2 linked regions of the Sus scrofa genome follow. The protein of the gene in region 1 purifies or fractionates together with the protein of each later gene. This does not show direct contact. Links are inferred from orthologs where the notes say so. Each region holds a gene or a part of one and is shown on either strand. Other genes may lie near its edges.

Region 1 (5,858 bases):
GGACCCGCTCCGTCCTCCCGGGAGGAAAGCTCACCTGGACGAGGAGCTGCTTGCCGGAGGCCCGCCGCTGCCCAGTAAGCTGGCCAGGCCCGGCCCAGTCAGGGCCCCCAGCCCCCCTGCGAGGAGCAAGGAGACAGGGCTCAGCTGTCACCCGGCCAGACAGCCCACCCTCCCCGCCAGAGGAGCAGGAACGCGCGCACCAAAGCCCAGGGACAGGCAGGGGAGGTGGTGACCACGGCGGGGCAAGAGGCAGCTCTTCCCGCCAAGCCGGACGCTTCACCCCCCTGCTACCAGGGCACTGGGTCCTCGTGACGTGGAGCCCAGGCCCAGGACGAAGTGACAAGCGTTTCCTGAGCGCCACGCCAGCCTGACGGGGCGGCAGCGCCGGGGCCACCCAGAGACCAGGCTCCTCCCCGGGGCCTCGCCTCCCTCCGCCCAGGGCTCCCAGCTCCCGCCTCAGGCAAAGCAGGCCCTTCCCCGGGAAGCCTGCACGCAGAACAGAGGGCTCGGAGCCCCTCGGAGCGCGGGGACACGGGGGAGGGCCCGGGGCCGGGGCGCGTTACCCAGTCCTCCGAGGCCGGCGGGTCCGATGAGCTGCATGAGCTGGCTGTGGCTCATGTTCCCCAGCAGGCTCTGCAGGCCGCCCTCGCCTGCAAGACAAGGCGGTCAGCCCGGGACGGCCACGGCTGGGCCTCCCGCTGCCCGGAACTGCGCGGCCCGCCTCCCCCAGTGTCCCCGCCAGGCGGGGCGGCGCCGTCTCATCGGGCGCCGGTGGGGGTGACCCCGGAACGGGGGAGGGGGCTTCTAACGAGCAACCCTCTGCGTCCGCTTAGCAACAAGCGGGCCCCACTCAGGGGCCACGTCACCTGAAACCCACCGCGACCTCCCGGCACACCCGGGAAGGGGACGGTTACCGCCCAGCGCCGACAGCTCGTGGCCTCCGCTGCCGCTGGCCCCCAGGGCGCCGGGCATGGGCGGGTTGTTGAGGTACTCGTTGACCTTCCGGCAGTGCTCCTCGTCCTGGTCCGTCTTGGGCTCCTGCGGGGAGGATGCGGCACCCGCGCGGCTGAGCGGCCCGCCCGCCACGGGCCGCCTTAGAGGCGAGGCACCCGAGGCCTGGACAGGCGGAGTCACCTGTCCGCAGTCACCCGTTTCACAGAAGGGGACCCTGACGTGCCAGGAGCACTGGGGGCGCAAAGGCACCGCCTTGTGACCCTCTGGGACAGGCCCTTCACACGGCAGGCCAAGGCCACACGTGTGACACCCCCACTGACCCTTTCATCGGAGCACCGCCCACGGACCAGCGCCCCCCGTCAGCAGGGCGCTGACATGAGCACCAGGTGTGGGGGGTCAGGCAGCGCTGCCCTGTGAGCACCCCCAGAAATGCAGGACCAAACACCTTCGCCTCTTGTCCAGGAGTCACTGAGCATGTGCTGTGGGCCTGCAGGGTGACGCGGGGAGGGGGGACAAGACACAGTCCCCAAGCTCAGGGCGGAGGGAACAGAAAAGGCACCACGTGGGGTCAAAACTATGGAGAAACAAGCTCTACGCCAGTGGCTGACACACCACAGGCCTGTTTACAAATAAAGTTTTACTGGAGCGTGGCTACACCCGTCTGTTGACCTGTCCTTGGCCACTGTCACACTACTCAGCGGAGGTGAGCTGGCATGACACGACCGTCCTGCCCCGTTGCACAGAGTGCCGGGGGCGCGGCGGGGGCGGGGCGGGGGATCTGTCCAAACTGCAAGCACACAGGCTCACCTACCGCAGGAGCACGTCCACGTCCCCTGGGCAAGAGGACCCCCAGGGACCCCGGGGGCGGGAGCGCTGGAGGAGCGGACCACAGGCAGACTCTTGCTGGTCAGCCAGGGACTGCCGCACACAGCGGGCACCCGAGGCCCAGCTACAGGTCCAGACCCTGGGCAAGCCCGCCCCCAGGCCCCTGCGCCCAGGTCATACCCTGGACTCCTAAGGTTCCAGGGCAAGCAGCTTCGGTCAGCGAATTCTACCACCCAGGGAGCAACTTTCTAACCTAATTTCACGACAGGAGAAAAAAAGATAAATGCTGACAAAACCCATGTACCTGCATCCAAAAGAAGAGCCGCTTGGAGCCAGCCTTAAACTTGAGGACGTAGACCCTGCCGCTGGGGCACTGCGGCACACGCTTGAACTCGCAGTCATCAGGAAAGATGATCAGATCCTACAGAGAGCAGCAGGGAGGAGAGTCGGCTTCACGGGCACAGCATCGCTGAGCCCCGGAACCTCCGGGAGAACACGCTGGGTCCCGTGTTGAGTGTGGGGGCGTGGGGAGAGGACACGGAGACCACGGGGTCTCTGGGGGGCAGAGGCACCACACGGCGGGCACGAGGGCCAGGAGGGGCTTGGTACTAAACAGAGAAGGGGGGCTTCTGACTCTCGACGGATTTTCAATAGAGACACTTGGGGAAGCAACATTCCAAGATGAGTCAAAAGGCAACTGTGACCTGCTCTCGAACCTAACAAGAAATGATTTGGTCTGAAGAACAAAGAACACCAAATAAAATGACCGCTCGAGAACGCTGTCGAGGATGCGGTAAGTTCAGGACTTTTATACAGTTTCTCCAATTCAAAGCACCTAATTAATCTTCAAGTTTAAAGGACACACAGGCAACGGGAGAATCTATAGACCCCCCGAGGCTAGAACGACCCACAAGCAAAAGAAAATATCTGATAAGGGCACCAGGCCAGGGGCTCCGGGCCTCCCAAGACCTGCCAAAACGGAAACGGCCGCTGTGCCCCTGGGGCACCGGTCCTTCTGTGAAAATCGCCCCGCGCTGACAACCAGGCGGGGGTCGAGATGAGATGGAGGCCACCAGACACTTACGTCTTCCACGTTCCCAGATGTCCTGTCTTTCCAGCAAAAGTGAATGAGGGAGTCATCTGTCTGTTGAATGTACACGAGGCCTTTCCGTTTATCTGGGGTGACAGTAGTTCCTTTTAATGACATCTTTCCTGCCCGAAACTCCACCAAATACTTGTTGGAGGACCCGCGGGAGCCTGGCACCAGGCTTGGAAACAGAGCGCCTGAAGTCGTCATCCTGAAACCGGACCAGCAAGCGGACCCAGTCACTGCCACGGAAACCCTAACTTCCTCCTCAAATGTTCGCTGGCGGCGGAGTGAAAGCCCCTCTCTCTGAACCGCGGGCTGCCACTGTGCTGGGAGCAGGCGGCAGGCCCAAGCCGCCCAGCACCCGCCGCCAAACTCCTCCCGGGTGGACCTGGGCCCGCAGTACCTGAGCCCAGGGAGCCAGGTTCCCTGCTGCTTCTCGTGTTTCTAAGAGAAGGAAATTTACCCCCGCACCTGAACTGCATCACCGCTGCGGACCCTCGTCACCACCACTCTCCGTACTTTTTAAATCTGCAGCTCCGAAGGGTTTAAAACCGTGAGCTGGGCAGACAACCGCTAACACACTGGATAGGAGACAAGGCTGTGGCCTAAAACCGAGTTTCTGCGCGATACGGGCAGGCTCGCTGCCTTAGAAAAAACCCGAGCACCCGGGAGAAGCGCAGCAAGCCCCGCGGCGGCGCTGCATCCTCTGCGGGGTGACCTGGCCATCCCCGCCCGCAGACCCCGCCGCCCGACGCCCTCGGCTGCGCTGCGCGGCGGGCGGGGCGGCGGCTGGGCTGGCCCGGGAGCCGGGCCCCAGAACCCCGGCCCGCGCCGGCCCCTTGCCCCTCAGGCCTCCGCCCCCCGGGCGCCCGCCCGCAGCCGCCGACGGCGCAGACCCCGCCCCCTGCCGCCCCCGTAACCGTCCCCGCCCCCGGCGCCCCCTGTACCTGGTCCGCGCCGAGAGTCGGCCGAGAGGCGCTGTCCGGGATCGCTCTTCCTCCTCGGCGCCTGCCGGGCCCCGCCGGAAGTCCCGCTCGCCCCGCCCCCCCGCCGCTCTCGCCGCCGATTGGGCCCCGTCAGGAGAGGGGCGGGCACTGGCCCGCGGGCGATTGGCCAGAGCGGCCGCCCATTACCCGGCCAGGCCCGCCCCCCCGCCTGCGGCTCCTTCCGGCGGAAGCGCGGGCCGGCGGCGCGCGGGCCAGAGCGGCCCCTATTGTTGCTGTGTCATAGGGGCGCGGCGGCGGCCCCTGGCGGCGGCGCCTGGAACGGCGAGGCGGGCGCGGGCCGGGCGGTGGGCGCTGGCCCCGGGACCGCCGGGCCGCGCCGGGCCGAGCCCCTGCGGGACGCTGGAGGCTCTCTCAGTTTCGCTGTCAGTGCGAGACACCGGGTCCCGAGACGAAGGAGAAGTCGCTAGCTCAAGGGAGAGGATGGCCTAGGACGCGGGGGCCGGGGGCCGGGCGCGAGGGTTTCACATTCCGGGGGCAAGGTGGCAAACTACAGCCCCGAACCCCGTTCCATGGCCTCCACCCATCCTCCTCGATTACAGTGACGACCCGGCTGCCCCCCATCGCCCCCGTACCCCAACAGCAGTGATGGCACAGTCCTCCCCATCCCCCCCAGCACCCCAGACAGCAGCGTTGGCACGGCTGCCCCCTCCCCCTCGTCTGCGGGTGCAGCGTTTCCAGAGGCTGGTGGGCAGTCAGGATGGAGGGAAGGCCAGACTAGATAAACGGAAGGCGCTGCCCTCCCACTACTTTTATTTCCGCTTCATTTACACCCAGTCCTGCAGAGAAATGGAAAAGCGGCCCACGTGCTAGGTGCCCCCAGCCGCACACCCCACCAGCGCCGCCTGCCTCCCGGCGCCAAAGGCAGGGCCGTCCTGAACTGTGTGCCCACTTTCCTGTGTGCTGGGTGATTTTCTCTCTATGTGTATGGAAAACTTGTTTTTAAGCTTTTCATAAAAGGTATAAAGGTGAAAAGTATTCTTTCACTCAATGTTTTTAAGATTTATCCACCTTGACACCTGTGGCTCTAACCCATTCATTTTAACTCCTGTACCCTCTTCTGGTGAGTTCCATACCCCTTGCTTTGTGATCTAAAGAGTCACTAATTTTTTTCTTTGTTTTGGAAAATATGACTGTTTTTCATTTTAAAATTTTATTTGTGATAATAAATGCCTTTGTTATTTTTAAATTAGTTAATATTTATTTTTAATTTATAATAATGGTAAATATCCATAGATTAAAAACCCATATAGACAAAAGCTCTGTGGGGTCCTGGATAATTTTTGAGACTCTCAAGGGTTCCAGAGGTGGGCGGGGGGAACAGCCAACTTGAGGCAATGCTTATGGGAGTTCCCTGGCGGCTCAATGGGTTAAGGATCCGTCATTGTCACTGCTGTGGTGCCTGTTCAGTCCCTGACCTGGGAACTTCCACATGTCACAGACGCAGCCTGAAAAAAAAATTCTAGTACAACGTGATGCAATTTTGTGGCCTCTGACGCGGTCACCACCCTGCAGACAATGCCATCCCATGGCCTGTGAAACCAGGCAAGAAATCAGTGAAGCAGCACCTGTCGTGGCACAGCAGAAACGAATCCAACTAGGAACCATGAGGTTGCAGGGTCGATCCCTGGCCTCACTCAGTGGCTTAAGGATCCGGCGTTGCCATGGGCTGTGGTCACAGAAGTGGCTCAGATCCAATGTGGCTGTGGCTGTGGTGCAGGCCGGCAGCTGTAGCTCCAATTAGACCCCTAGCCTGGGAACCTCCATGTGCCGCGGGTGTGGCCCTAAAAAACAAAAAACAAAAAAACCCACAAAGCTTTATACACTTTCAATAGTTTCTTTGAAAAATCTGAATAAGGAAGCAAGCTACAGGTAAACGGGCACCACGGAGGCCAGTCCATGTGCCCACCCCAGCCTTGGGCTCGGGGAACCCGGCTGCACGCATCCGAGCACCTGGCAGCCTCCGCCAAAAAGCAAACCCAGCA
Region 2 (6,129 bases), about 120 kb from region 1:
GCTACCGGCAGGATGGCCCGAGGGCCCCTGCTGCGCCAGGGACTCACCTTCCAGGCGTGGTAGGTCCCTGAGGGGTCCGTCTGGTAGAGTCTGGGGGTGCCGTCAAAGTCAAAACCCACGATGAGGGCGGAGATCCCAAAGGGCCTGCGACCGTTGCTCTGTGTGTAGCGCTAGTGGACAGACAGACACAGGACGGTTGTCTTGGCACAAACTCCCCAGACGACCCAAGTAAAACACACATGGTGCTCCCAGACACTGGGTTCAGGAAAGGGGGGGCCCTAAAGCAAGCCCACATGCGGGTTGTTCGCAGTTCAGGTGAGACATGACACGGGCCAGCGGCTTTCAGCATTGCTCCCACCCTGGCTGCACGTCCCCCCGGAGCACGGCCGGGGCGACCTGGGGCTACTTTGCCGCAGACACACTCGGTTCACAGGTGACCAGAATATCACCAGGGTAGGGGGACTGTCAGCGCCTCGCACCTGCCTGGTGACTGATCATTGGGGAGGGCATGACAAAAGCCACAGCGTTTCCCTCCAGAGATGAGCCCACATCACCTCGTAAGAAGAAAATTTCAGGTACCACTAGGCGAAGGATGGGAAGTTACACGAGGCAGGCGAGGACCACCCCGTGAGGCTGCTGCTGAACCCCCGTGACGCACCCGCAGCAGGACACTAACTGGTGACGGCCCCGTGACGGGAGCCGACCCAGGGCAGGCGGCGCCTACCTGCTTCAGGCTGGCGATGTAGCGGGTGATGTACTCCACAGTGACCGGGTCCTCCACGGTCAGCCGGTGGCTCTGGCACTCCACCCGCGCCCTGTTGATGACTATCCGTGCGTCCGCGGTGAGGCCTGCGGTGACCGGAGAGCTAGCCTGAGCCCCACCTTCCAGTCAGTGGTCCAAACCAGCACGGCATGGACGGCACAACCTCTGGCGGCTTCTAAGACCGGCTCCCGGTTCCCAGCGCGGCGCCTGAGTGACTGGCGGCGGAAGCAGCAGCCCCCACGCGCTTCTCTGAGAAAGCTGGGCGGGCGACCAGCACGCGTCCCGGGACAAAGCAAGTCAACCTCTGGATTGGGTAAACCGGGCGCTCCCTGCCGAGGAGGGAGATGAGCGAGGAGGGAGATGAGCGGAACCACAGGAGCTGACCGCACCTGACAGCAGAGCGCCGGACGGCCCCACCTTTCCCACGGCGACATGCCGCTGAAAGCACGGGGCCACCGCACAGCCCCTCACCCCGGGCGTCTGCTGAGAGCCTGTGCGTCAGCCACCGGAGAGGGACCCTCCTGCCCAAGAAGCAGGCCGCACCTGTTTCTTGGAAACGGTCTGTTCCCCGGCGTGGGCGTCCCCGGCAGCGCTTCCCCGGGTGACCCTCGTAGGAGGCAGGAGGAGAGCCCCGGCCCCAGGCTCACCCGCGAACGCCATGCAGACGTTGTCGTCCAGGGCGCAGATCTTCCGCACGGTCCGCTCGTCCTGCAGCCTGGCCACCGACTTCTTCTCCACGCCGAGGACGACGATGTCCCTTCCGCGGACGCCAACCTTCAACGGGCATCACCGTGGCACTTAAACGTGTGACGCGATCCCAGCCCAGAGCACGAAGAGCGGCTGTTGCCGCGGCCCCATGACCACTGGGGCAGGGGGCACGCACAGCCTGCAAACCGTGGGGCTGGACCCGCTTATGCACAACTACCTCAGGCGTCGCCAGCCAGGTGCCCACTCTTGGCCTTAGGCTTCAGTTTCAGTTCAACTGAAAACCACCACCGTGTGTGACCCACGTGTATGTGCCCCTTCAACCCCATGATTCGGAATTCGGCGTAAAGCCTTTAGGCCTGAGTCCTTAACACAGAAATAGCTGTCCTGAAAGCAGTGTTGCGTGGCTGTGAAGTCACACCCAAACCCTCCCCGCTCCCGCACTTCGGTAACCTGTGTGCACGGCAGTGGGCAAGTGCCTGATGTGACCAGGTGGACGTGTCAGCTACCCCCGGGAGGCCACTGGCTGTTTCTGGCTGTCGCTTCGCAGGTAGAAGGATGTCTTACGCACATGGGGAAAAAAATCACGATTGCCTGTCGACAGCCCTCAATGGGAACAGCAGCCGCTGCGCATGAAACGGTCACTGGGCAGAGCGACATCCGCCCGAGCCCAGAGCAGGGCTTCTGAGCCTCAGGACTGTGGGCACCGGGCCCGCCAATTCTTGGATGTGAGGGCGGCCCGGCTCACTGAAGGATGCTTACCGTCCGCCCGGCCTCTGCCCGGCCTCTGCCTCTAGAAGTCTCCTGGCCGTTGCCAAACGCCCCCTGGGCTGCAGAGAAGCCCTGGTCGGCTGTGTTTCCAAGTTTCAAGCAACTTTCCTACAAACTGACCTGGTCTTTAAAGCTCCCAAAGACAAGAAGGCCCTGCTCAGAGGCGCTGGTTAAAGAAAGGTAGCCTGCCGGCGGGCCCCACATGCAATGGGGGCGGGGGGAGACAGGTGCCAGGCGACTCCCCCACTAGTCTCTAAGCTGAAATAGGTCGCAAGGTGGATTTGGAGCCCCCATTGCAGAAGAGGTTCAAGAGATGAAAATACTTCCAAGATTCACAGAATCGTGTGTTTTCTCTCTGGCCAAACCTCTGACACACCAAATAATAAAATAAAAACCATCGTACAGTTTAGCCAATAAGCAAACTGCCAAGCGTACTGAAGGCACCATTGCATTTACGTTTCAAACCGCGGCCTAAACGACAGCCGCGCTCAGGTGCGAGGGGACGAGGGGGGCGGTCACACCCGGAGGGGCCTGCCAGCTGCGCCGGGCTGCCCGGGGACGGCAGGGCTGCTGCTGAGCCCGGCGGCCGCCCTTTGTCCTCGAAGCCGGCCCACTGCTTTCCCGGTCGGGGAAGCCCCCTCACTGGGAGCGGTCCGCATGCCGTTCGCGCAAATCATTTGGTGCCTTAAGGCGCGTTCCGGGTAAGGGGCTGGCCCGCCGCTCGGAGCCCCCCCCCCCCGCCCAGCCGCGGCCCCCGAACCCCCAAAATGGCGCCGCCGGCAGGCGCGCTCGGCTCCGGACACCGGAGGAGCCCCAAGGCCTGCGGTCTGCAGGCCACGGTCCGCAGCGCCCCTTCCCGAAGCAAGCCCCACGTGACGGCTGCCGTGCGCCCCCCCGCCCCTGTGCTACCCGAGCCCGAAGCACTCGGCGCCGGTCAGCGCGGCCTCCCCAGCCGCCCGGGCCCTGCCCATCCCCGGACGTGCAGGCCCCGCGGGGCCGCCGCTCACCGCAGTCGAGCCCTTCTTCACGGCCTCCTGCGCGTACTCCACTTGGAAGAGGTGGCCGTCGGGCGAAAAGACGGTGATGGCGCGGTCGTAGCTCATGCCGGCGGGGCGACGCGGCCGGACCCGGGAAAAGCGCACACTCACGGCCCGCGCAGCCCGCGATTCACGACGTCGCTGCGCCCGCGCCCGCGCCGCGCGCCCGTCCGCCCCCGGCGCCGCCGACTGCGCTGCTGGCGTAAGGCGGGCGTAAGGCGGCGTCGGGCGACGTGCGCGCGCCGGGGCGGGGCCGGGCCGAACCACCGACGGCCGGGCGCGGGGGGCGGTGCGGCGGCGGCGGCGGTGGCGGCGGCGGCGGGCCCGGCGCGGAGCGCGAGGCGGCCGCCCGGGGGCGCCGCGCGGAGCTCGGTCTCAGGCTGCGGCGGCGCGCGGAGCGGCGAGGCGGCGGGTCCGGAGGCAACGCGGCGACGGAGGGGCGGGCGAGTCCACGGCGCAGCACCCCCCGCGCCCCCCGCCCCCCAGCGACTGCGGAGAATGAGCGCCTCTGGCCGCCGAGCGCAGCCGGAGAATAAACCCCGATGATCTCGGGCTGATCCTGCGCCCGCGACCATGTCGGTGGCCTTCGCGTCCGCCCGGCCGAGAGGCAAAGGGGAGGTCACGCAGCAAACCATCCAGAAGGTGGGCTGGGGGCCGCGGTCCCGGGCTGGGGGCCACGGGGTGCGGGCGGGCGCTGGGCCGGGTCGAGGGCAGCCGGCGGGCGCGGGGCGCGAACAAAGCCGGGGCGCAGCCGACCGCCGCGACCCCGCTGGGGCCCCGCGCGCGCTCTGTGGCCAGCGTGCGCCAATGTGGGCGGGGGTGCGCGGGGGCGGTGGGTTGGGGCTCAAGGCGGCGCGTGGGGTGGTGTCCTCGGAGCCCAGCCCGGAACGACCCCGGGCCTCACCGGCCACAGTGGGGACGCGCCGTCTTCTGGGCCCGGGGCCGCGGGGCAGGAGCGCAGGGCGGCAGGACCGGGTGCCCGCAGGGTGGTGTCCAAGGGATGTTGTCTGCAGGGTGATGTCCGCAGAGCCAAGCCAGGGACGACCCCGGGCCCCGCCGGGGACAGTGGAGACCCGTCGCCTTCGGGGCCGGGGTGCGGGTGCACGGCGTCCGGACCGGGCGTCCGCAGGGTGGTGTCTGCGAGCCGCCCGGTGCGCCGAGGGGACCCTCCTGACTGGGAAAGTGGTGACGCTGCGCCGTGGGCGGCCCCCCGCCCCCGCGCGCAGTTTGGCTGGTGGAGGGCGCACGGGGCACATGGGGCGACGGGGATCCGTCCCAGCCGCCGGCCCCGCCTGCCATTTAGGTGCTGGCATTACGAGGCACAAAGAGGTGCATCCAGAGTGAGGGCGCCGGTCTTGCAGCCCCGCAGCCCTTTAAGGAGCGCTCCACGCCTCGGGGCCGGCTGGCCGGCCGCTCTTATTGGAGTGTCACGCTGCTTTTCAGCCTTGACACTTCGCCAGCCTCTTCACCTAACAAAACTTTACAGACTGGTTTTACAGCCTTGCCTGCGTGCTATAAGTTTGGCCTCGTGGTTTCCTAGACATAACCTTCACGTGGGTTTGGGGACATTTTAATACAAGTCTTAGGTTTTGAAATGGAAATTTAAAATTTTTACTGCTTCTGTTTAGAAGATAAAGCTCAGGAGAAAGTGGCTCTCGACTCTTCCCCTTTGAGTTCCTCGATGTCGGGTAGCCAGGTTGCTCTCCTTTCTAAGCTGGGTTCTCCGAAGAATCCCTGGGTTTCCGGGAACCTTTTATGTCCCTCTGGGATTCACCTTCTCCCGTGATGATGTTTCAGGGCTTCTTTTTGCTGTGACTGGTTTTGACGAATGAGGAGCCTCTGTAAACTCTAAATAAAAAGCAGTAGAAACACGAGGGAAAACGTGGGGCGTTTTCACTTGTTTAGTCCACACTTGAGTGGTGCTCGCTCAGTAGGGGCCCGATTCTCTGGGCCGGGCCCATCTTGATGCGCGTCACCGCTTGCAGTGGTCACTCTCATCAGCGGCTGGTGGAGAAGGAGAGCGGCAGAAGGAGGCCGAGTGCCTGCGGGTAAGTGCTGGAGCCAGGAGGCCAACCCAGACAGTGGCTCTCGGCTCGGGTGGGCAGCCCGGAGCTCCTCTGGGGACCCTGGATTTTTAGGTGAGCATCGTCCCTGTTCCCAAAGCCACCTTGGCATCAGTACTCATCCACGGAGCTGCACTTGGCGCTCGCTCCCTGTTGAAGTTCCCCAGATTCTCTGGGCCAGAGTGTGTGTGGCCACGCTGGTCCCAAGCATCCGAAAGCCTGTGTCCCAGGGCAGAAGGTCTGCCAGCTGGCCAGTGGAGAGGAGTCTTCAGCTTAGGCTGTCGTCTCACGTGCTCTGAGAGGGCTGGGCTGGGTACTCACTTCGATGTTTGGAAGCGTTCTCCTACTGGTGTTCTGAGAGGGCGTGAGAAATGTGTTCTGTGCTCGTGGGAGCTGTGTCCACAGCCTGTGCTCATGCTCAGAGCATTGAGAAAAGCCAGGGGTTCTACAGCAGCCTCCTTGGTAGTGGCACAGCAGAGAGTATACACTTGTCCTGAGAGTACATTTGGATGGGAGCCTGTCAGGCAAACTCCTACTCAGCCTTCAAGGCCCCACTGAAATGTCCCCTCCTCATGCCCCCGTGGCAGTCACGTGAGGAATGCTGTGCTTTGACATGTCCCTTGGGCTCCCAAGTGTTTGGATCATGGACCTGTTCTTGTGTTGCCAGGCTGGCACAGTATCTGGCATAGTTAGTGCTTCGTACTTGCTGGAGCATCTGTGACCCTGGTTCCATCAGTGGAAATTTTGGGTTAGGCAGGCATATTTGTCTCCTGTGGCTACCGTAACAGAT

What was found. Proteins that work in one complex are often made in the same cells at the same time.
Region 2: the proteins of ADRM1 (region 1) and PSMA7 fractionate together in Homo sapiens (co-fractionation; 3 studies listed by BioGRID, with this or other methods). This does not show direct contact. The link is inferred for Sus scrofa from reciprocal best matches to the Homo sapiens genes ADRM1 and PSMA7.

The regions. Positions count from the first base shown.
Region 1 is NC_010459.5:61,690,997-61,696,854, reverse strand, and holds the start of ADRM1 (proteasomal ubiquitin receptor ADRM1), read right to left. Parts: upstream 3,899-5,858; 5' UTR 3,817-3,898; intron 3,451-3,816; 5' UTR 3,352-3,450; coding exon 3,341-3,351; intron 3,078-3,340; coding exon 2,864-3,077; intron 2,201-2,863; coding exon 2,084-2,200; intron 1,039-2,083; coding exon 915-1,038; intron 651-914; coding exon 564-650; intron 117-563; coding exon 35-116; intron 1-34. UniProt on the Homo sapiens protein: Component of the 26S proteasome, a multiprotein complex involved in the ATP-dependent degradation of ubiquitinated proteins.
Region 2 is NC_010459.5:61,568,024-61,574,152, forward strand, and holds the start of PSMA7 (proteasome subunit alpha type-7), read right to left. Parts: upstream 3,494-6,129; 5' UTR 3,343-3,493; coding exon 3,247-3,342; intron 1,538-3,246; coding exon 1,411-1,537; intron 850-1,410; coding exon 725-849; intron 171-724; coding exon 48-170; intron 1-47. Other genes in the region: SS18L1 (calcium-responsive transactivator), read left to right, coding at 3,850-3,918.